Bombyx mori: one gene and its partner. Each later gene encodes a partner of the first gene's protein in a complex. Links are inferred from orthologs where the notes say so. Each region holds a gene or a part of one and is shown in the gene's direction. Other genes may lie near its edges.

Region 1 (11,541 bases):
ATAAGGTTAGCGAACAACTGCCCGAGCGCTCCTAAAAGAGACCTAGCAGCTCAAGGAAGGTTGTTTGTTACACGAGTATATACTACCGCATGCGAATCACTTTACGGATATTCTGAGTGCACAGAAATGGTCGTAGCTTAAAAGATGATACGGTCAGTGTATTAAATGAAATTCGGCAAGCAGGCAACACTTTTTCTATAGAAATACGAGCTTAACAAGTATTCAAGAAATATCTCCACGATGTAATTAGGAATAACATGAATGCAGAAAAAATCCCGACAACTTTTCGTAATTACGGGCAACAGGGAGTATGCTGTCTATACCTATTATTATTATTATTATTCCTATCTATTCACTAGTAGCCTAAGCGGCTATCCCAGCTACGCGCTGTCGGGCTATAACCATAGAGGGTATGGTAGACCCCGTTTCGACTACGTAGCAGTCTTGCGTCCCTATTGGAAAAGTGGGACAGCCTTTATATAGTAATATTAAAGCAAAGTGGACAGCGGTACTAACTTTGTGATGTCTATGGGCTCCAATAACAATAACTACTTAATACCAACTAGGCCGTGAGTTAGCACATTCATTATGCAACAAATAATAAATCATTATCATATTAATGTGAAATGTTGTGAAACGAAGTTATGAAAAGTAATAATTTTTATTTAATTAATATAGTATAATGTCATGATTAAGAGTAAACTGTGCGTCGTACCTATTAGGAATTAGCTATATAAGGGGGTTTTTCTGCAAGATATTTCACATCTTCTCCAACATTCTCAGTAAGGAGCAGCCTGGCTGTTCTCTTAGCATCCTTGGGCTATGGTAACAACTTTATTTAAGGTTGAGAGGAGTGGTTGTCACAAGTTGCACTTTACATCATTCAGGTAAACACAAAACAACAACACTATGAACGTGTCAAGTAGTTATATTTGTTAATATGTAGTTGTGTTGCAATGGTGTAATCATCTAACAGTCTAAATCAGCCATAAAGTTGTGTGTTGCATGATAGATATGCTACAAAAATATATTCCATTAATTTTACTAATATAGTTTTTAGGTGTTATATCCTATGTAAAAAAATCTTTGGTTTATTTGTTGTTGTAAATTTAGTTGAGGTAAGAAAACAATCCCATTTGGTGGCTTCAATTTCTGACAAATAAATAATATAATTCACAAAGAATTCCATCTAAATCAATCTTCAATAAAATCTATTTTTCTTCCAAAAGACACTGTAACCATCATTGTAAAGGTACAATACACATAATAAAAGAATACTTACCCTAAAAGGAATATAATTGCACCAGTTATGTATGCAATGAGACCAGGTTTTGTTTGTGTTGATGTGTTAATTTCGGCATGGCAACTAGGACAAATCATATGAGTTGGATGCGGCCCAACCGGTACTACGGTTGTAACAATTTGTGGCCCTGTTGCTGAAAAATAATTTATTTTGAAAACTTTTTAATGTATGAAAAAAAACAGTTGAGCTACAAATGTGAAATAATGACAGACATCGTATTATATATTGAGGGGTGAAAGGCTATCTTATACCTTTAAACGAGCAAATCTTGTATATATATATGGATGAAGTGTGGATCTATATATATATAATTTGAATCTCGGAAACGGCTCCAACGATTTTTATAAAATTTGGTATACAGGGGATTTCGGGGGCGATAAATCGATGTAGCTACGATTTATTTTCAGAAAATGTTGTTTTATTCGTTTATCGATAATCAACTTTATGACTCTTCCCGACATCTATTGGCGAATAATAATACTATTTTTTATAATTGAGAGCAACTTTAAAGCTTTAAAGACACAATAACACTAAAGCTATTTCAGCAGATGGCGTTGTTAAGCCACCTGAAGCCAATGAGCGTTTGGTTTAAGGTCAGACCAAGAAAATAAATTGTTTATTTACCTAGTCTGGCCATAAATACTGATACAATTAAAAATAAACAAAATATTACATTTGAATTTGGAATCTGTCATTTTTATATGATTGCTCATTGAGTGTTCTCATTTTGGCGCCAATACATTGTACAATACTTTGCGATATTAAACTCGAGTGGGGTGATAAAGAGAACCGAATCGCTGTGATTGCATTACACAAATTAGGTATGGAGCCAAATGCAATTTTTAAAACTCTCCATACGCTTGGTATTAGTAAAATGTTTGTGTACCGGGCTATTAATAGGTGCAATGAAACCTCCTCTGTTTATGACAGAAAAAGATCTGGCCGTCCACGTAGTGTTCGTGCGAAAAAGTAGTGCGTAGTGGTCAAAGCAGTAAGGGAAAGAATTCGAAGAAATCCTGTCCGAAAACAAAAGATTTTATCTCGGGAGATGAAGATAGCACCTAGAACCATGTCGCGTATTTTAAAAGATGACTTAGGACTTGCAGCCTATAAGAGACGTACTGGTCATTTCTTTACTGATAATTTAAAAGAGATTAGGGTGGTAAAATCGAAATAACTACTGAAGCGGTACGCAAAGGGAGGTCATAGAAAAATTTTGTTTCCGGATGAGAAATTTTTTACTTTTCTTTTTTTTTTCCTACCTAAGCTGATAGCCTTAGGGGCTATTTCAGCGTATTTTTTACAATTGAGCAACATTTTAACAAACAAAATGACCATATTCATGCTCAAAGCTCTAAGGAAGCTTCCCAATTAGTCAACAGAGTGCAACGTGGGCACTATCCGACTTCAATGATGGTTTGGTGGGGTATTAGCTATGAAGGAGTGACTGAGCCATACTTTTGTAAAAAAGTTACCAAAACATCGGCACAAGTGTATCAAGATACCATTCTTGAGAAGGTAGTGAAGCCCCTTAACAACACTATGTTCAATAATCAAGAATGGTCCTTCCAGCAAGACTCGGCGCCAGGTCATAAAGCTTGGTCTATGCAGTCTTGGTTGGAAACGAACGTTTCGGACTTCATCAGAGCTGAAGACTGGCCGTCGTCTAGTCCCGATCTTAATCCACTGGATTATGATTTATGGTCAGTTTTAGAGAGTACGGCTTGCTCTAAACACCATGATAATTTGGAGTCCCTAAAACAGTTCGTACGATTGGCAGTGAAAAATTTTCCCATGGAAAGAGTGCGTGCTTCTATTGATAACTGGCCTCAACGTTTAAAGGACTGTATTGCAGCCAATGGAGACCACTTCGAATAAGCTTTTTATACTTTAAATTGTTTTATATTTATGTATTAAACTAACACATTGTAAAAGTAATAAATGTTATTTGCACTAGATTTTTTTTAATTTTTAATTGTAACAGTATTTATGGCCAGACTAAGTATATTATTTGTGACTTTTTAACTCACGTGTTCACTTAAAAATACCTAACCGATCTTGGAATATTTCATCATTTTATCAATATGTAATTCGTACTAAAAAACACAATTTTTATAAAAAAAAAAGACGAGCGAAGCTCGGTCATCGTCTAGTTTGGTTTAAGCAATATTTTTGCAAACATTACAGGAGAACCATTTAAAGTTTAGAATTTCGAAAAAATATAATAACCAAAAGAGCATCTTCATCTAGTAGAATGGGATAAAATGAATTAAAATTTAAATGAAAACATTGAATTATTAATGCTAATACCAAATAAAACAAAATGTCGCTTAAAGCAAATAGCCTTTCACCTGTTGATATTATTCATGACAGACATTAAATGTAGTTTTGAATTAATCATTACCCCTATACAATTTAATTGAGTGATGTTTTACTTCTGATTTTGAGATCTTTAGGATTTAAACAGTGAATTATGTAGAAACATTAAAACTATAAATATTTTGCCAATGTATGGTGTAATTCAAATTCTCACACAATGGGCGCTCACTATTATATGACGAGACTAGCTTTGTGAATTGACATTTATGTTCTATTAAGTTTGACAGTAAAAGCTCTTACAAAATACAAGCTTTTACAAAAAATTAAAGGTAAAAGATTTTCAATAGTAGCGGTAGTTCTTTTGACGTTCAACAAGTATGTACTTTCATTTATGTTGAATAAAATTTTTTTGATTTGATTTGATTTGAATACATTAATTGAAATAGTAAAAATTAATGTATTAAATTATATATCTTACATACCTAATGTAGTGTACTTATTTGAGGAACACTAACATTTGAAAACAATTTCAACCTTAAAATATGTGATACACACATGCAAATTATAATAAGATCAACCTGTTCAATGTCACTGACTCAAAATAAAAACTTGACCTAAATTTTAAAATAAATATCTGAAACCCAGTGTGTTCACATATTTAAGCATTACTATTAATTTGACAGCTATCTACTCTGCAGCTATTTAAAGTTTCATTCACTGCAAATGGAACAAAATTTTCAACTTATGACATTGAATTAGCTAGATTGTACCAGTATACCTATAAAAACAATATATTATTTATTTTACTTACTTGTTGGGTACTGAGGTGTGTAAGGGCTGGAAGGCCCTACACCCCCCACTGCTTGCGAGTAGCTAGGTGGAGCAGCAGGCGGAGGCTGTAAAACATTTGCCTGGCCCCATACATATGGAGGAGGATTGCCATTTTTTTCCATTGTTCAAGCTGTAAACAAATACTGTTTAAAATAATCACATTAGAAAGTACTTAAAGAGTGAGACCAGTGACGTAATTCAATCTTGAAGTTATTTTTAGGTATGACTACACAATACACACTACCCACCCAGCCTCAGCCTATTAAATTGATAGTTCAACAGTTCGTAAAATTTGTTAAAAACAATACTTCGAACTGAAGGATCTAATTTTTAATAAATATTTTAAGGTTTGAGTTGTTAATTTACACTATAGACGCAATGCATAACTTAGTATTTGAGTGTAATAAATAGCCAAATACGAACCAGACTTGTTTTGCTTCACTAAAGTTCACTTTTTTAAGTGATTTTATGTTTGGAGTTTGGGGCACAGATTAGTCTAATAGTTAGTTAGGTACGTTTGGGCTTTGCGACAGGGTTTTCTCGTTTATGATATAGATAATATATTAAAGTAGTTTTCCAATTACAGCACAAGAGCGCATTATGCGGCATAATGCTCAACTAAGTTTCAGCATAATTCGCCATTGTGCGTCACTGAGTCGCATTATGCTCTGTAATCCGTGACGCACAATGCCGAATTCTGCTGAAGCTTAGTTGAGCATTATGCCGCATAATGCGCTCTTGTGCTGTAATTGGAAAACTACCTAATACACTCGGCATAGTTCATTTTTAACTATTACAAGCAATTTAGAGATATTCAGTACGTAGACAATATAGTGCTAGGTAGAAGGATCTTTTAACACTTGAAAGAGATTGACAAGAGTTTAGTACTTGCACGAGTATTAGGAAAATTACCAAAAAACTAATCGTGTGTTGATTGCTTAGCTTTGATTTTGAAATGAGGAGAGGGCAAGTATCTTCGTCTCCTAGCTTTTTAAATGTGTTAAGTTTCTTCTATAAGCCTGTTTAGGAACATGGGAAGAGAGCTGTATAAGATGCGATCTAAATGCTCAACAGCAACTAGGTGATGAAACGCTATATTTTCCGCTGTTTCTAAAATACGTTATACCATGGGATTTAATTAATTAGAGCTTTTTAGGCGGAAACCGCACAGCTCACTGACGTAGGGTTATAGTAGTTGTTGTACCTACGACGTGGAGGTGCATGCGTTTAATTTCAGTCTAAAGGTTTTACTTCTATCTACCTAGTTTGAGTTCTATCTCATTAAAGGTTCAGATGCTAGTTGATGAGCAATAGGTGATTTGGGTGAAAGACAGCATCACACATTAATGTGCTGTATGTATGTGACACTAACATCACGTTTTAATGCATATTCTATTCATTTATATATTAAAGTCATGCATAGGTATAATTTAAAGGTGGAATAATACAAAAAAAAGGAATTATTTGCTTAGTCAACTCACACTAAAATTTTGGATTTTATTTTATTCGTGTTTGGGAAATAAATTTGATCTCCAAAGCACGAGAAATTATACCAGTGTATTATTTTTAAAGATTTGACAACATTCGAGCTAGTGTTGCTTAATATTTTCAATCAGTCTGGATTGATCTGTCTGTGACTGCTATAGACAAAAAACATTGTAAACGTCAAAAATACTGAAAACAGGTAGGTAAATCACAAATACATACGGTAGGTACCGTACCTACTTACTGGTGTAGGTATTTATGTAGTACGTACTTTAATTAAGGTACATATGTACATAAATGTTTTTTTATTAATATACATTGCATCACGTTAGTCATAGGTCATACTGATCCACAATAGATATCTTCTATACTAACAAGTACAAGTAACTTCTGGTTTAAATTCAGTTTATGTACATTTACAGGTAGGTATTTTCATTTCGAAATGTCTTCACCACGCCCAAAATCACCTCGTACTCCTGTGCTTCCCAAAAAAGAGGAAAAAGAGTCCTTTTGGGACAAAATTGGTACAATAGGGCGCAAAAAAGGGATTAAAGAAGGTAAAGTATAATTACAAATTCTAATCAAATTCATATTTGATGTGTGGGTTTATTTAAAATGTCAAATTCATGATTAACATGGGAACCGAAGGACAGCTTTAGAAAATTTTATGTATACACAGAAGTTTGAAATAAACTATTTCCATTAATAGAAAGTAGCCAATAATAGAATAAAAAATAAAACGAATATAATTATAAAATATAACAATTTTATTCTATTCAGTTTTAGTTTTTGTGTGATGTTTGTTTTACAGCACCAGGAAAATTATTTAAGGAAATTCTGTAAATTGCTACTGCTTTAACCACCTCTTGCAAAATTGAAATATTTTTTATTTGAAACCTTTCAAAACTGGCCTAAGAGGTCACACTGGAATGGCAATTATTTTTAACTGGATTTTAGAGATTCTCAATTTAGATTGCATATGTGTATTTTGAAGACAGCTTCTTTTTATATTTTATCTTGAGTAAACCACCGATGCAAAATATACTCAGATTAATAATTACTATATTTTGCCTTCAGTCATTATAACATATGCTGCTGCATTAATACAATAATGATTAACTAGGTGATCAGTAGTTTAATGTTTTTTGTTTTTTAGATATAATATTTTAGAAATTTTGAATTTGTTAGGTATAATAATATCTAGTAGTAGGTAGTAGTAGTAGACTTGGCTGTGCCCCTGTCATTGACATCTATGAACGCCGGTAACCATTCACCATGATGTGGACTGTATGTTTGTTCAGTTTTCTGATAAAGAAAAACATAATTGTAATCATTAAAAATATAATTAAATGGATCGGCAAACTTAGATCCAAGTAGATAATCAGTGGTTAACATAGCCTGCCCTCAGAATACTGCAGTAGAATATACTATATAACTTCCTTTTAATATTTTTCTTTGTAGCTTTAAATTGCAATCTTGAGTACTGGTCTGTTGTGAGCAGTTTGTATTGTTATTTTGCCTTTTCTGCTGTGAATCAATGATGTCTTCCTGTTTTTATGTTAAAATAGCCATCATATTAAATAAAGTTTAGACAAGACAATTTATATTAAGGTATTAGCTTTTTCCATTTACATAAAATATATTAATATAATATATTAAGAATGTTTTGTGGCAATACCAATAATGAAGATGTAATGTTTCAGTTCAAGATGTACAAGCTGAAGGGAAATATGCTATTGATTCTCCAGGCAGTCCAACTGCACCAGAGATTCCCCCTGAAGAATATACTTTGAGTAAGTAAAATAAAAATTTAGAAGTTATGAAAATGCACTTATGTTCTGAAATATATTTTTGTTATTATAATCATTAAATCTTATCCCACTCTTGAGGGTTATATTTGTATTATAGTATGGGATCATTTATCATTTATTACACAACCTTGTGAAATTAGGATAGTAGAAAACTAAAACTTATAACAGGTTGGTACTTGCTGCCATTACAGCTAAATGGGATGGTCCATATCCCCAGCAGGGAATACTTAGCTTGCTATTTTTTCTTTTGATTATACATATGAATAATTTTCATTGTATTTTTGTTTCTTGAATATGTCCAGTCAACGAAGGGATTAATTTTGTTTATTTTAAGCAAAGTGTCTTCTCTATATTCATTTTTACTTAAAAGCAGTAACCTTTATTACAATACGCATCAATATCTCCATTTTTCCTTCAGCTTTTCCATGAATAAATATGTATTACATTCTTGCAACTTTTCTTGCCTTGCAAATTTTTATTTATTCTACTATATAGATTTTTATTATCTTCCATGTATTCAACAATATGTTTCTCTCTACCTGATCGCTGGTAGCCTAAGGGGCTATTCCAGCTACTCACAAACTGGTAGGTGAGCGCACGGGCTCAACCTGAGAGGGTTAATTAACACTGGCCCTTGCAAGAGCAGCGCTTCGCTTAATCTACCACCGGATCAGAATCTCGACCAACTGAGAAGATCTGGCAAAAAGTCAGTTTGTGACTATGGGTTAGTTTGCACGTCGAACTCTTCGTCTTATTCGACGAGAACAGTGACCAGTGCTTGGGGAGCCTAAAAGAACCGAGAGTGGGACCCAGAAAGTTAATTGTGATAGCCTACGGCTTTCTTTCATTTACCTTGCAATTTCTGTAATCTCTCCCTTTCTCTTTCAATTTCAACATCTTCGCATGTTCTACTGCGTTCTTTCGAAGTTTTTGTGTTTATTTCTTAAGTTACCTCTTTTGATGGTCTTCAATGGATACTTAAGATATTCTATTACAACATATTATTACGAGTTAGGTAATTGACTTATGTAATGTGTATAAAAATCCATACACGCGTTTAGAGTAGTTAGAATGGGTCTTTATCAAGTATCATATAAAAAAGAAAATTCTAATATGTTTATGGCACGCGTGACGTCTTGAACTATCGAACACGAAATGAAAGCTAATTCTCGTGTACAAACCATGCATTTCACTTTTTAACTTTAAACTTTCGATTTAGATGAGAACGAAGAAAGGGCTATTATCGAACCTCGATCACTTGAAGATCCAAGGGTCAGAGATCTGATTCAAGTCTTGATTGACTGGATCAACGATGAACTAGCTTCACAGAGAATAATCGTCCAGGACATCATCGAAGATCTTTATGACGGTCAAGTGCTTCAAAAACTTTTAGAACAATTAACAAAGACGAAACTTGATGTACCTGAAGTAACTCAATCAGAAGAAGGACAGCGCCAGAAATTGACTATAGTTTTACGGGCTGTTAATCGAGTAAGCATTATTATTAACTATTCTCTTTTATAATCAATATCTGGAGCAGGTCTTGCAGTCACTCGTCTAGGTAAGGGGTACGGATAGAATAGTCGGAACCTAGTTTCAAACAGCGCAGGCCCAGAGCGACATCTCAATACGAAACGAGCAAGAGCTATTGCGGTATAAAGCACTCTTGCTTTATTTGGGATAGTTGGAAAGAGAACAAGTAGTAAGTTCACTTATGGGCCTCCAAGATCTGTACTATATTCTTCTCGTTTCAAAAGAACCATTCAAATACTAAGAATTAGACTGCCTAAACTATGTCTATAGCAAAAAAAATTTAGTTAAGGTTGCACTAAATTATAATAATAACTATAGTAATTGTTTGTGAATTATAATAATGTAGTTGTATTGGTTTTAGGTCTTGTACGGTACATCAAAACCAGTACCAAAATGGAGTGTGGATTCGATACATTCAAAAAGTATTGTTTCGATTCTTCATTTGCTCGTTGCTCTGGCCCGTCATTTCCGAGCTCCCATACGTCTCCCCGAAAATGTTTCTGTGAACGTTGTTATCGTCAAGAAAAACACACCGACCCAACTATCTCACCGGTAAACCTTGTTACATTGTTTTTAAATAATTTTATTTTTATAAATTGTAATCTTTATAACTAATAAAAGTGTTTTTTAGGACTTTAATCGAAACCATAACGACTACTTATGACGATCTCGGCATGAAATGTGAACGTGATGCGTTTGATGCGTTGTTCGACCATGCACCGGACAAGCTCTTAGTTGTTAAGAAGGTATTGATTTATTTATTTAATTAATTAATCTCCCATTAACATGACGTTTCTATTTATTTAATTTGTGTTCTTTTTTGTCTTTTTTCAGTCACTTATTACATTTGTGAATAAACATTTGAGCAAAGTGAACTTAGAGGTAATGGATTTGGACACCCAGTTCCATGACGGAGTATACTTATGTCTTTTAATGGGCTTACTTGAAGAATTCTTTGTACCTCTTTACGACTTTCATTTAACACCTCAAGATTTTGATCAGAAAGTTCATAATGTATCATTTGCATTTGAGCTTATGCAAGATGTTGGTCTGGGAAAGCCCAAAGCCAGGCCTGAAGGTAAGGCCAATCGTCTTAATAAAAATATGTAAATTAAGGTATACTATGAATTTCAAATATGATTTGTTAATTTTTATTTCAGATATCGTGAATCTCGACCTCAAGTCAACCCTTCGAGTGCTTTACAATCTGTTCACAAAATATAAAAATATGGCTTAATTATTTATTAACCATCATTTGATCCATCGAATGATCAAAAAATTAACAAGAGTGATAACCATTTAATGTATTAATTTAATACGAGTGCTATACATAATATATTTTAATTATTTTTTATAATAGTGCCTTAAAATAAATAATATGACTAACAAAAAATTGTTTTACTTGTCGGTTTGATTGACTATTATCGATAGTCACTTTAAAAGCTCTAAAATTTTGATCGACTAAATAGCGACTAAGCAATCAAATATTTCTGCCTGCTAAAGACGTTCAGTCTTAGTGAATGATACATCATTAAAGTTGCAGAGTATTTAAAACTCAACTCGGTCCAGTTAATCTTTTAGAGTTCTATATTGGGTATCGTTTGACTGGACGAGAAACGGGGTTGTACAATGGTTCGACTCCCGCACTATAGCGACACCACGTGATGTCACTGAAGCCAAGGCTCCAAAAAACCTGTAGTGATTGGATTATACATTTTGTTATTTAGAGAGAAAGACAGCAAGTTTTTAAGACAGTACAAACCTAATTTTATAGGCACTAAATAGGATAAGGTTATAAAAAAATACCGGAAATGAGTAAAACACTACTTTCTGTATGAATACTATTTTATTACCGTACACAATATGAAAATACATAAAATCGCAGTCAAGTCCTAAAAATATATTGTTTACTGGTCAGAGTTCAAACAATACACCAGGTAGTCTAAAGCATTTTATCACATCTTGACTACACAATCATATCGGTATTTAGATTTAAAAAAAACTATAAAATGATGTGCTGCTTACAGTAGTGATTAAGAGATCTTAGAAACTGATTCTTAATTTACATTGCGCATGGATCCGACATAAAATTAATACAAAATAAAAAATAACATTCAAAATCAACCGACATCATACAATATACCTATTATTAAATTTTATATAAAACAATGTTTATTCACTTAAAGAAATCTAACGGTCCAAAATAGTATTATTATACTGGCATAATTTTATTTTTAAGTTTATAAAAAATATTTAATG
Region 2 (10,169 bases), on another chromosome or scaffold:
CGATATCTAACGTTTGCGATTTTTTACTCTGTAAAACAGTGTTATCGTAACTATAGAAAAGCCACCAAAAGTTCGAGTTATTGTTAATAGTACTAATTAAAAAGATAATTCACAAGTTAAGCACTGAGCAAGTACATAATCACTTGAAACTTGAAGTTAAGCTTTCAACCATAGATTCTACACATAATACCTAAACTTTCAACATTCAAAGGCGACATGACATGAATGCATGAATGAAATTAGGTTTCCTACTTCAGTGAATAGAATGAATTCAGTAGTAGTTTTATTTTTCCAATTGGAAAAGCTAAGTTATCATACTATACTGCCTTATCTTTTATTATATATGTCGCATCCGGGTCGCAATAGTTCGGAATACTTCGGAATATCAACGATACACAAACGTCAAAGTGACGTGTACAGAGCCTAGATTGGAGAGGGTAAACGATAGTAACTCTATGGGTAAACGTTAATAAAAGAACGTGCACTCTGTATTCGATAATATATTTGCGGTACTATCGGTTGAATAAGCAACACTAGCCTAGGAACTGTACTGTGTATATTGAAAAGTATTTAGAGTCAAGCTGTATTGTGATTTACCTACACTGTGAAATAAAAATTAGTATTTGGAACATACGAAGCATTTATTTCTCGCCCGGATCCCTACTGATGCCCACAATGAGCGACCGTGAAGATAACGAGTCTCCGATATATATATATATTTTATAAAATATTAAGTAAAGTATTTTATAAGTATATAAGTACTAAGTAAAATTATATTATGAAATGAATTGAGATGAGATGATATGGAAAGAAATATAATCTCAGTAAAATGGTGGTCAATTACTGAGAGTTTTTCAGTGGACTTTTTGGAGGAATACAAACAAAAAAACAGATTTATTAAAATTAAGTGTATCTATGAAAAATACAAACGTACATATACATACAGACTTTTTGGCGAGAACGCGAAGAGTGAATTGTGTGATTTCTTTTATTTGGTCTATTTAGAGTTTCTTCAGGTTTAAATGTGTAATAATTTAACGGTGGTTTATTAACTGTTTAATATTTGTGCAAGTGCACAAATTTGGGAAAATGAAACAAAGCCGCTGGACGTAGCTACTCGGGAGCCTCCAAACAGTCCTCTAAAAAAATCTCAGTAAATTCCCACCATTTTACTGAGATTATATTTCATCCCATATCATCTCATCTCATTTCATTTAATTTCATCTCAGTAGATTAATGTCTCAAATTAATCATCTTTATTTAATTTCATTTCATTTCACTCCATATTATCATTTTTCATAAAAATAAAATTATAAATTAAAATAAGACTTGATCTAAAGGTCTTAGTTACCAGGTCACAAAGTCCTTAAAAACAAAAACATACATACATAGATAATACTAGATATTTAAAATCTACTTTTCGACTTTCAACACACTTTCTTTATAAAAGTATTTTTAGTCGATAATAAAAGTTAAAATAATCTAATAAAAACCAGATTTTTTAGTTTACCTAACGCATCATTGTTGTAAGTTTAGTTTCGAACATTATTTTTATGAATGATTCATAACTTAAAATCTATTCTTGTTCAATTACATCATTTAGTTACAACCTATGTTTTAAATTGCAGTTGTTGACTATTCATTTGTTTAATTGTATTAATTGACTTGTGAGTAATGTAATTCTTTCCTGCAGAAGTATTCTGGAGTTCTCGTTAATTAGATTTGAGTACATTTGAAGTGAAAAATGCCTGGGTAAGCTGCAGCTGGACGTGGGAGTGGTTAAACACTTGTCACTCATAAAATGCACCCACCCTAACTTCTACTTGCAGCATCTTAACCATTTTTGAACATTTTAAGTTAGATATATCCATTAAGAAAAACCTAAAAGCAATCAAATAGTTCATAACATCATTGGCGCATAAATAAAACTAACAAATACAAACAAATTAATAATATGCATTAAAAGTATTTTTATTACTAATTTAATGTCATCCTTAAATTTAGTTTTCCTCATTACTTGATTAAATACTGGTAGTTTTCCTGTAACTAGTACAATACATTTTACCTCAAAAATTTTTTTACCAAATATTTATATTCATTTAAATAAAATCATAGGAATCCCTATACACTTATTCATTTCAGCTATTTCAACTTAAAGAAATTTTTTTAGTTGTAACTTAGAATTGAAAGTAAATTGTTTAACTTGTGTGGGTTCTATGTTGTGACTATATTAAATTGCCAGTGAGCTTCAGAAGGCAAATTACTTGTAGTATCATTTTGAAATTTTAAAGATTCTTTATCTGTTTTATTGTTTGTATTGAAAGATTTAGACATGTCATATAATGTACTTATTATTTAATTTACAAATGACTAGATAACGTTAACATTAACTAATCAATCAATAGTTAAATAAATTTCAATTAAAACCTACTTCATATGACTTAAAAAGTTAATTATTTATTTCAGCTTAGCTACGATGTCTCTTGATAATATGTATTGTACTCGCTGTGGGGATGGATTTGAGCCAAATGAGAAAATTGTGAACTCCAATGGAGAATTATGGCATACAAATTGTTTTGTGTAAGTAAAACTGATTTTCCTTAATATAAGCTTAAACATAATAAGAACATAAAGCTGCTTAAAATTAGTTGATGTGGTCAGAAAGAAATTTTTTCTCCTACCTACGCTGAAAGTTCGGTTTTCATCCCGCTATACAGGGAAGAAAGTGTAACTTTTCCTCCCTGGATACAAGTACGCATGTGCGTTAATGTCTGCGTCTGCTCTCACCCACCTAAAATTCTCTGCCATTGTTGAGTTCATCAGGCAGTTCTTATTCAACTAGTAGTTTATTTAAAAATTAAAAAACAGTTAAATTGTTTTTTATGAGTAAGGGGGGGCTCCGCCCTTGGACCCCACCGGGGTCGGTCTGGTAGGAGAAAAAATACTATGTGCACCAAGGGAGAAAAGTTGGACATTTCCTCCCGCGTGTAAAATTGCCACGCGTGCAAGTCGCAAAAATGCTGGAGGAATGTACTATTACATGTATGCATTTGTTTCAATTAAAGTTGCTGTAATTAGTACTGGATAGTGAGTGAGATTATACCATAGATTAATGGAAACCAATGTATTTTCTATGTTGCTGGTATCTGTTTGCCTTTCAGATCTGACTTTTTAGTAATCTAGAAAGGTTTTTGTATAACTGATAATAAACATATTAATACAAAAAAAACAAGTTTGTGTATCAATACTGAAAAAAATATTTTCAATCGAAATCTATAAATTTACCTAAAAATTAATCTAATTCTTTTGGATTCAAGTAGTTATCAGATGGCTTATCTGATTACCAAATTAGTTGATGCTCAAGTCTGTTAATTTTCTGCATTAAACAGAAAGAGATTATATTCTAGATGTGGTGACTAGTCAGGCACTAGAGCCATTTATTTTTCCTACCTAAGCTTGAGAGGCTATGTCAGCGTAATGGGGCTCAAACCTGACGTTGTTGCTAACACAATCCTTAGCAAGAGCTTATTTTGTCATTTAGACTCATGAGATCAACCCTTTTTGTTATGTAAACATGTTTTTGTAGTTGTGCCCAGTGCTTTCGCATGTTTCCTGATGGTGTCTTCTATGAATTTGAGGGACGAAAGTATTGTGAACAGGATTTCCAAGTTTTATTTGCACCATGCTGTGCAAAGTGTGGTAAGTAAGTGGGGTAGAACCTTAAATAATAATTTCAATCTTAATCTATACAAATAAATAAAATAGGAGTGTCTGTTTGTAATAATAAAATAACCACTTTTTACTAAATGCGTAAGTATGTAAACACAGTACATATATCAAAATAATATTTTATAAAATTTTTGTCTGTCTGTCTGTCTGTTTGTTCCGGCTAATCTCTGGAACAGCTGGACTGATTTTGTCGGGACTTTCACTGATAGGTAGCTGATGATATAAGGAGTAACTTAGGCTACTTTTTTAGACTAGCTTCACTCCGCGACGTCACCCGCGGTACAACAATAACCGCGGGTAACATCGCGATACTCAACTAGTATCAAATACAATAAGATCTTCAATGCATAAAATACAATAAGAATTGTCTTGTTGCATATATTTCACAGTAAATAAAATCATTACCAATAAACACGATCATAACCAGTCTATATAATATACTACAAAAGATGCCATACATATGTGACCATAAAATATTTTTTATTTTTTAAACAGGAGAGTTTGTGATTGGCCGCGTTATAAAGGCGATGAACTCTAATTGGCATCCGGCCTGCTTCCGATGTGAAGAGTGTAATGTAGAGCTTGCAGATGCCGGTTTTATCAAGCATGCTGGTCGAGCATTGTGCCATGTATGTAACGCGCGTATCAAAGCGGATGGGCTGCAGAACTACATGTGTCATAAGTGCCAGTATGTTTTCTTAATTATGTACAATTTGTGTTGTTATAATTTTAGAATTTTCTAAATCTGTCATCTTTAATTATCACTATTGGTAATGCTTCATAGATTATACTACATATATTTTACACACAGAAACAAGTTCTCTATTACATAGTAGCAAGTACCATAAAAAAGTAGTGGAAACAGCATAAGAATTTGGTGTTAAACGTATGTAAGATGTTTTCACAATGAAAGCATATTATCATTATATCATCATAACTGATCATATTATTATAATCAGTTATGCGTACCTGTTTGAATTATGTATCAGTTATATCACAATACAATTGAGACATAGATCAAATACTATACATAATTATCGTCAACTTGCAGTGGAGTAATTGACGGAGAACCTTTACGTTATCGGGGAGAAGTTTACCATGGCTATCACTTTACCTGTGCTACCTGTGGAGTTGAGCTGGATCATACAGCCAGAGAAGTGAAAAATCGTCCTGGATATGCTGCAAATGATGTTGTAAGTATATTGAAATAGTCACATAAAATTAATATTAAATAAAAATTAATTTTAAAGGACAATTTGCACATTCAGACAGTACATTCATCCAATGAAATCGTTGTGTGTACAAAAAATATGTATCAATGTCATGGGTTTATCTGTTAGATAATCAAGATGAAAAAATGTAAACTCTAAATGCGTAAAAGAGAAAAAGCTTAATAAAGCTAACATATTTGGAATTAAATTGTTAAGGTCAACAAACAAGCTAGCCAAATATAAGATAGAAAGTCAATATAAAACGTATTGTAGACATAACCTTAGAAACCATTGTATCATTATGACAAATATATTACCAAAATTTATGATAAAAAATCACCTTGGTGATGCAAATTAAATTCTTCCTATTCGTACACTCTTGACAGAGTTGTCATGGTCATGCATCAGTCGAATCCTGGGATACCGATGCTCACGCGATGCGACGCCATGTGGCACGGTGTTTCGCAGAGTGAGAGCAATCATGTTGGTGTGAGTCGCAGATTTTATGAGGTCGGTCCATCGTGTTGGAGATCGTCCGCGAGATCTTTTGCCCTCGACTTTCCCTTGCACCACCAACCGCTCAATGGAGTCTTCGTTACGAGTGATGTGCCCGAAGAACTAATGCAAATTAAATTATCAACTAGTTTTTAATTCCTTAAATGTAAATGAGAAGTTGACTGTCAATCATTTAAGTATTTTATTTATTTAATCTGAGCTAATCGAAGTTTGTTTAATTAAAAAAAAATATTCCAGAATAACCTCTTTTGTCTTCGTTGCCATGATAAAATGGGTATTCCAATCTGCGGTGCTTGCCGACGTCCCATCGAGGAGAGAATCGTTACTGCTCTCGGGAAACATTGGCATGTTGAGGTATGCTCCAATTAATTTAAACATACAATTTGTGATACAATAAGATTGTCCTGAAGCGGTAGGTATCATAGAATACAATAAATACCATAAAAATCAGAACCTTTTTAGTCTGTCGATGCTGGTCACGTTTATAGAGCGAAGTCCTAAAATGATTGTATTATCATTGGTCTTTGATGCATGTTCAAGTTAATGGGACGTCTTGAATTCTGTCAAAATTAAGTTGAAAAATTCCGTTTCATACAAACATACATATTATTATGTATGTATAAACCAATATAAAAATCCACTATATGCTTCTGATTTTTCATTCAAATTGCGCATTCTATTTTCTACCACCTCGTGGCGATTCCCACTTAAGAGGATATGCAAGTGACTTCAGAATCTAATCTTTGGTTATGGCCGAAGCCACTTTTGTTGTATGAAAAGTGAAATGGAAAAAATAGCAAAACATCAATTGACTTGCTATCACGATACTTACAAATCTCTTATACACGACAATTCCTAAAATCCATAAGTTTCACTATTTGCGAAATTCATTAAAAGAGAGTGCTTCAGCATGATAAACAAATGTGTCATTGCAGCAGTTGACGACGTCCTATCCGTTACAAGTATTTATCGAAAATCACACACCATAATAGTAATCTCGGCGTCCAACTTCAGACACGAGGTTAAAGCCTCAATTGTATTGCATTAATAAAATTAACGATTTTAGATGCGACGAATCAGTTATTGCCATTGCCTAGTTCCAAGTAAATACGTACCTAACATGCTCACTTGAGCGACTTCCACGATGAAATAAAAATATAGTGTTTAACAAAAACCGAGAATCTTATAAATATGCATAATTATCGGCGGCAGTATTGGGAGCCCACACACGGATAAGTGTTACCGGTCTGCCTATCTATGCGGCGAAACCATCCAGCGTTTCGATTGGAAGGGTATGGTAGTAATTATAGAATTGAAACTTCGACGTTGCAAGGGGGTAGCGCAATTCACATTGCGATATCTATGGATTAGGTTTTCACTAGAGGTCGGAGTAGGTAGATTGATTTAAGATCGTTGACGTCAAATGTAGAGGATAATATGGATATGCCTCCAAAATACCGGAACTTCATATTTATTGCGATATTTGTTCCGGAATTTTGAAATTATCATGAATCTGTGTTTAAGGTGAAAAACATATTAAAAATATTAATCCATTATTCCATATTAGTGTATATTATAATATTTTGACGCAAGTATATAAAAAATCAATCTACCTACTTCGACCACTGGTTATCATCACCCGTTTGCTACCTGTTCCGTTTGAGTCGAAAGCAATAAAAATAATAATTTAAAGAAAATTTAATTTTTCAGCATTTCGTTTGTGCCAAATGCGAGAAACCATTTCACGGCCATCGTCATTATGAAAAGAAAGGCTTGGCCTACTGCGAACAACATTATCACCAGTTGTTCGGCAATTTGTGCTACGTCTGTAATCAAGTTATCGCCGGCGACGGTAACTATTCGATTATTTCATTTAAAATTTAATGATTTCGGCATGTGATATGATGAGGTTTCATAATTGTCTGTATTGTATTGGTTTATCGTTTAAGTACACTGTTCTGCGTAATAAGTAAGTTGTGTTAATAAATATAATTTTTAATAAAGAAAACAATCGAAAATGGCCAAGTGGAGTACACGCAATAGTTAAATTTAATAAAAATCTTTGTTTTTTAACTAAGTTTAATAATGCTTTAATATCGTGCGGGCTAATACTGGAAAAAGCCTACTGAGTTTCTCGTCGGATCTTCTCAGTGGGTCGCGATTCCGATCCGGTGGTAGATTTTGCGAAGCAACGTCGTCAGGTTAGAGCACCTATTCGCACAGTTAAGTTGACATAACCTCACGAGATTACCAGCATAAGTGGTAAAAGAACGGGAAAGATTTCTACACATAGCTGTTGCACAAAATAAGTTCTGAACACAATATTTGTGTTATTGGTTAATAATCATAAACGTTTTTATAATATCACAATTCACTTAAAAACTAATTATATTCAGTGTGATTTGAAATTATATCTTGCTTATTTAGCTGATTTTTTTATATTATCGAATGAATATATTCTTAACTTCTTAAAAATTTGTGTGCTAGTATGTATTATAATTATGAAGGTTTTAATGTGAATATAATATAGGTTATATATCACAAGTAACATGTTACACATAATATGTAACTTATTGTGTTGTACTGCTGATTGCTACTTCAATAACACAAACTGGTCGAATCAAAAATATCTATTTAATTTACCATTTTTTTTCTTAATAACTGTAATTTTATTCGTAGTATTCACCGCATTGAACAAGGCTTGGTGCGTACATCATTTTGCGTGTTCCGTTTGCGATGCGCCGCTGAGCACGCGTAGCAAGTTCTACGAATACGACGAGAGGCCCGCCTGTAGACGCTGCTACGAGAAGTTCCCGGCTGAACTACGACGTCGGCTACGTCGGGCTCATCACTACACGGTCCGCCGTTAACGAAAAATACAAGGAATAAACGACATTAATCTGTCTATACCAGTGGTGGGCAAACATTTTTAATGGCGGCCACAATGTTTAGGAAATACTAGAGGAGGGCCAGAATTATAGAAAAATGTTTTTTTTTCTCCAATAAATGAGATAATGAAAGCTCCAATTCGTCAGGGGTGTTTTGAGGGGAGTTTTGAAAAATTCGAAGATTTTCAATTATAAACGTCAGATTTTATTTTACGCGCCAAACTGCCGACTAGAATATTTGGGACGGACGGACTCTCGGCGGGCCGGATTAAAATACTTCCGCGGGTCGTACTTTGCCCATCACTGGTCTATACTATACTAAACCACTATACCACAGTAATGTCGGTGTTCACATTTTTTTAACATAATTAACTAACAAATTTAAAAATATAATAAATGTAGTATGCACTTGCCATTTGTGCCTTGAAGTACCTACTATGTAACAACTAAACTTATTAATGTAATATATTAAGTGTAAAATGTAATAATTAATTATTTTATACCATACAAAATATAATGATTATGAATGTTGTCTTTACTCGCACTGATCATTGACGCGTTCGCTATTTTGTTCAAGTGCAATGGATTTATTTATTGATTTGACTCCTTTAAAAATATTATTTTGAAGTCGCTCTTATCTATTTACGACCAGATGAGCTATAAGTCAATTTAACTCTATTGGCAATAAAAATGTATCTGTTGAATGTGCTTGTAAACTATGTTTTGAATTAAGTCAAAATATCAGTTTGGTCACGTGAACCTGAATTTAAAAGCACAAAATATAAACGTAGAACTATTTCTAAGTTAACTATTTATATTAATGAACTCAAAAGGCTTGGCTTCATAAGCCAAAACGGAAACAAATCTGTAGATATTGTACACTATATGAAGATTATTAATATAAATTTTCGATGATTTTTATAAACCAATTGAACTGAATATTACAGCAAATGTGTGGTCAAAATGACGAATTTGGATCTAATTATTTTTTAATATTAATTATATAAGATTATCTTAGCCAGGGACAATGACAGTGACAATCAGACCGATATAAATGATATTTGAAAAACCCTCTGAAATGATAAATATATTTCAAAAAATTATATTCATTCCATTTTGAAGAATGCTACTTTTGACTATAATATGCTACTGCATTGTATATTAATGTCACGTTTTTAGCATGCCTTACATTAGACGAAAATTATGATTTAAAAGAAAAAAGAAAACTTGTTTCGCACCCTTTGTAATATTGTTTTTAACCCTTTTAATGTATAATACAGATATTTTATAATTTAATTTAGATCTAAATATTTATGTAACACCAAATAAAGTTTTTTACTAACACGTTATTCTTTTGATTATTGTACAATGCACGGGATTAGGGTTTCGTCAAGTTACCAAATACAAAATCAAAATTTTGGGAAGTTTTGATTTTAAGATTCTAATTTGTAATTTATTTTGTTATAGACAGCGTGTTTAGTGCGACTTTTTTAACGTTCTCGCATGTAATTAGTATGGAGTTGGAACGTTTGTCCCTAGCGGCAAATTTATGTTACCTTTTACGCTATCGAGAACGTTAAAACACTCGCATTAAGCACATAGATAGGCTATATTGTCATTTTATAAGTGGTCGTTGTTGCTCATGAACATCAGCAAACAAAAGGGTAATAATAAAAATAAAATCATTTATTGTCTTTCACATTAAATAGAATAAAATACAAGAAAAATAAAAATTAAAAAAAAGACAAAAGGAGGTGGCTCAGCTAAGGCTGTTCAAGGTCGATAAATCGAACAGCGCTGATTATCCACAATACGAGGTTCTTTA

The links.
Region 2: beta-parvin (region 1) and LIM and senescent cell antigen-like-containing domain protein 1 share a complex: the UniProt entries of both Caenorhabditis elegans proteins name them as parts of the integrin containing attachment complex. The link is inferred for Bombyx mori from reciprocal best matches to the Caenorhabditis elegans genes pat-6 and unc-97.

What each region holds. Positions count from the first base shown.
Region 1 is NC_085107.1:9,477,282-9,488,822, forward strand, and holds beta-parvin, read left to right. Parts: upstream 1-6,004; 5' UTR 6,005-6,137; exon of another isoform or gene 6,138-6,360; 5' UTR 6,361-6,380; coding exon 6,381-6,495; intron 6,496-7,641; coding exon 7,642-7,731; intron 7,732-8,968; coding exon 8,969-9,240; intron 9,241-9,643; coding exon 9,644-9,834; intron 9,835-9,913; coding exon 9,914-10,028; intron 10,029-10,116; coding exon 10,117-10,360; intron 10,361-10,442; coding exon 10,443-10,519; 3' UTR 10,520-10,675; downstream 10,676-11,541. Other genes in the region: LITAF domain-containing protein, read right to left, coding at 1,283-1,436, 4,434-4,575. UniProt on the Caenorhabditis elegans protein: Involved in the regulation of cell adhesion and cytoskeleton organization. Component of an integrin containing attachment complex, which is required for muscle development and maintenance.
Region 2 is NC_085112.1:7,031,860-7,042,028, reverse strand, and holds LIM and senescent cell antigen-like-containing domain protein 1, read left to right. Parts: upstream 1-1,356; 5' UTR 1,357-1,526; intron 1,527-1,693; 5' UTR 1,694-1,744; coding exon 1,745-1,752; intron 1,753-2,466; coding exon 2,467-2,580; intron 2,581-3,586; coding exon 3,587-3,699; intron 3,700-4,224; coding exon 4,225-4,417; intron 4,418-4,780; coding exon 4,781-4,922; intron 4,923-5,693; coding exon 5,694-5,810; intron 5,811-7,166; coding exon 7,167-7,308; intron 7,309-8,135; coding exon 8,136-8,326; 3' UTR 8,327-9,688; downstream 9,689-10,169. UniProt on the Caenorhabditis elegans protein: Component of an integrin containing attachment complex, which is required for muscle development and maintenance. Probably function in adherens junction.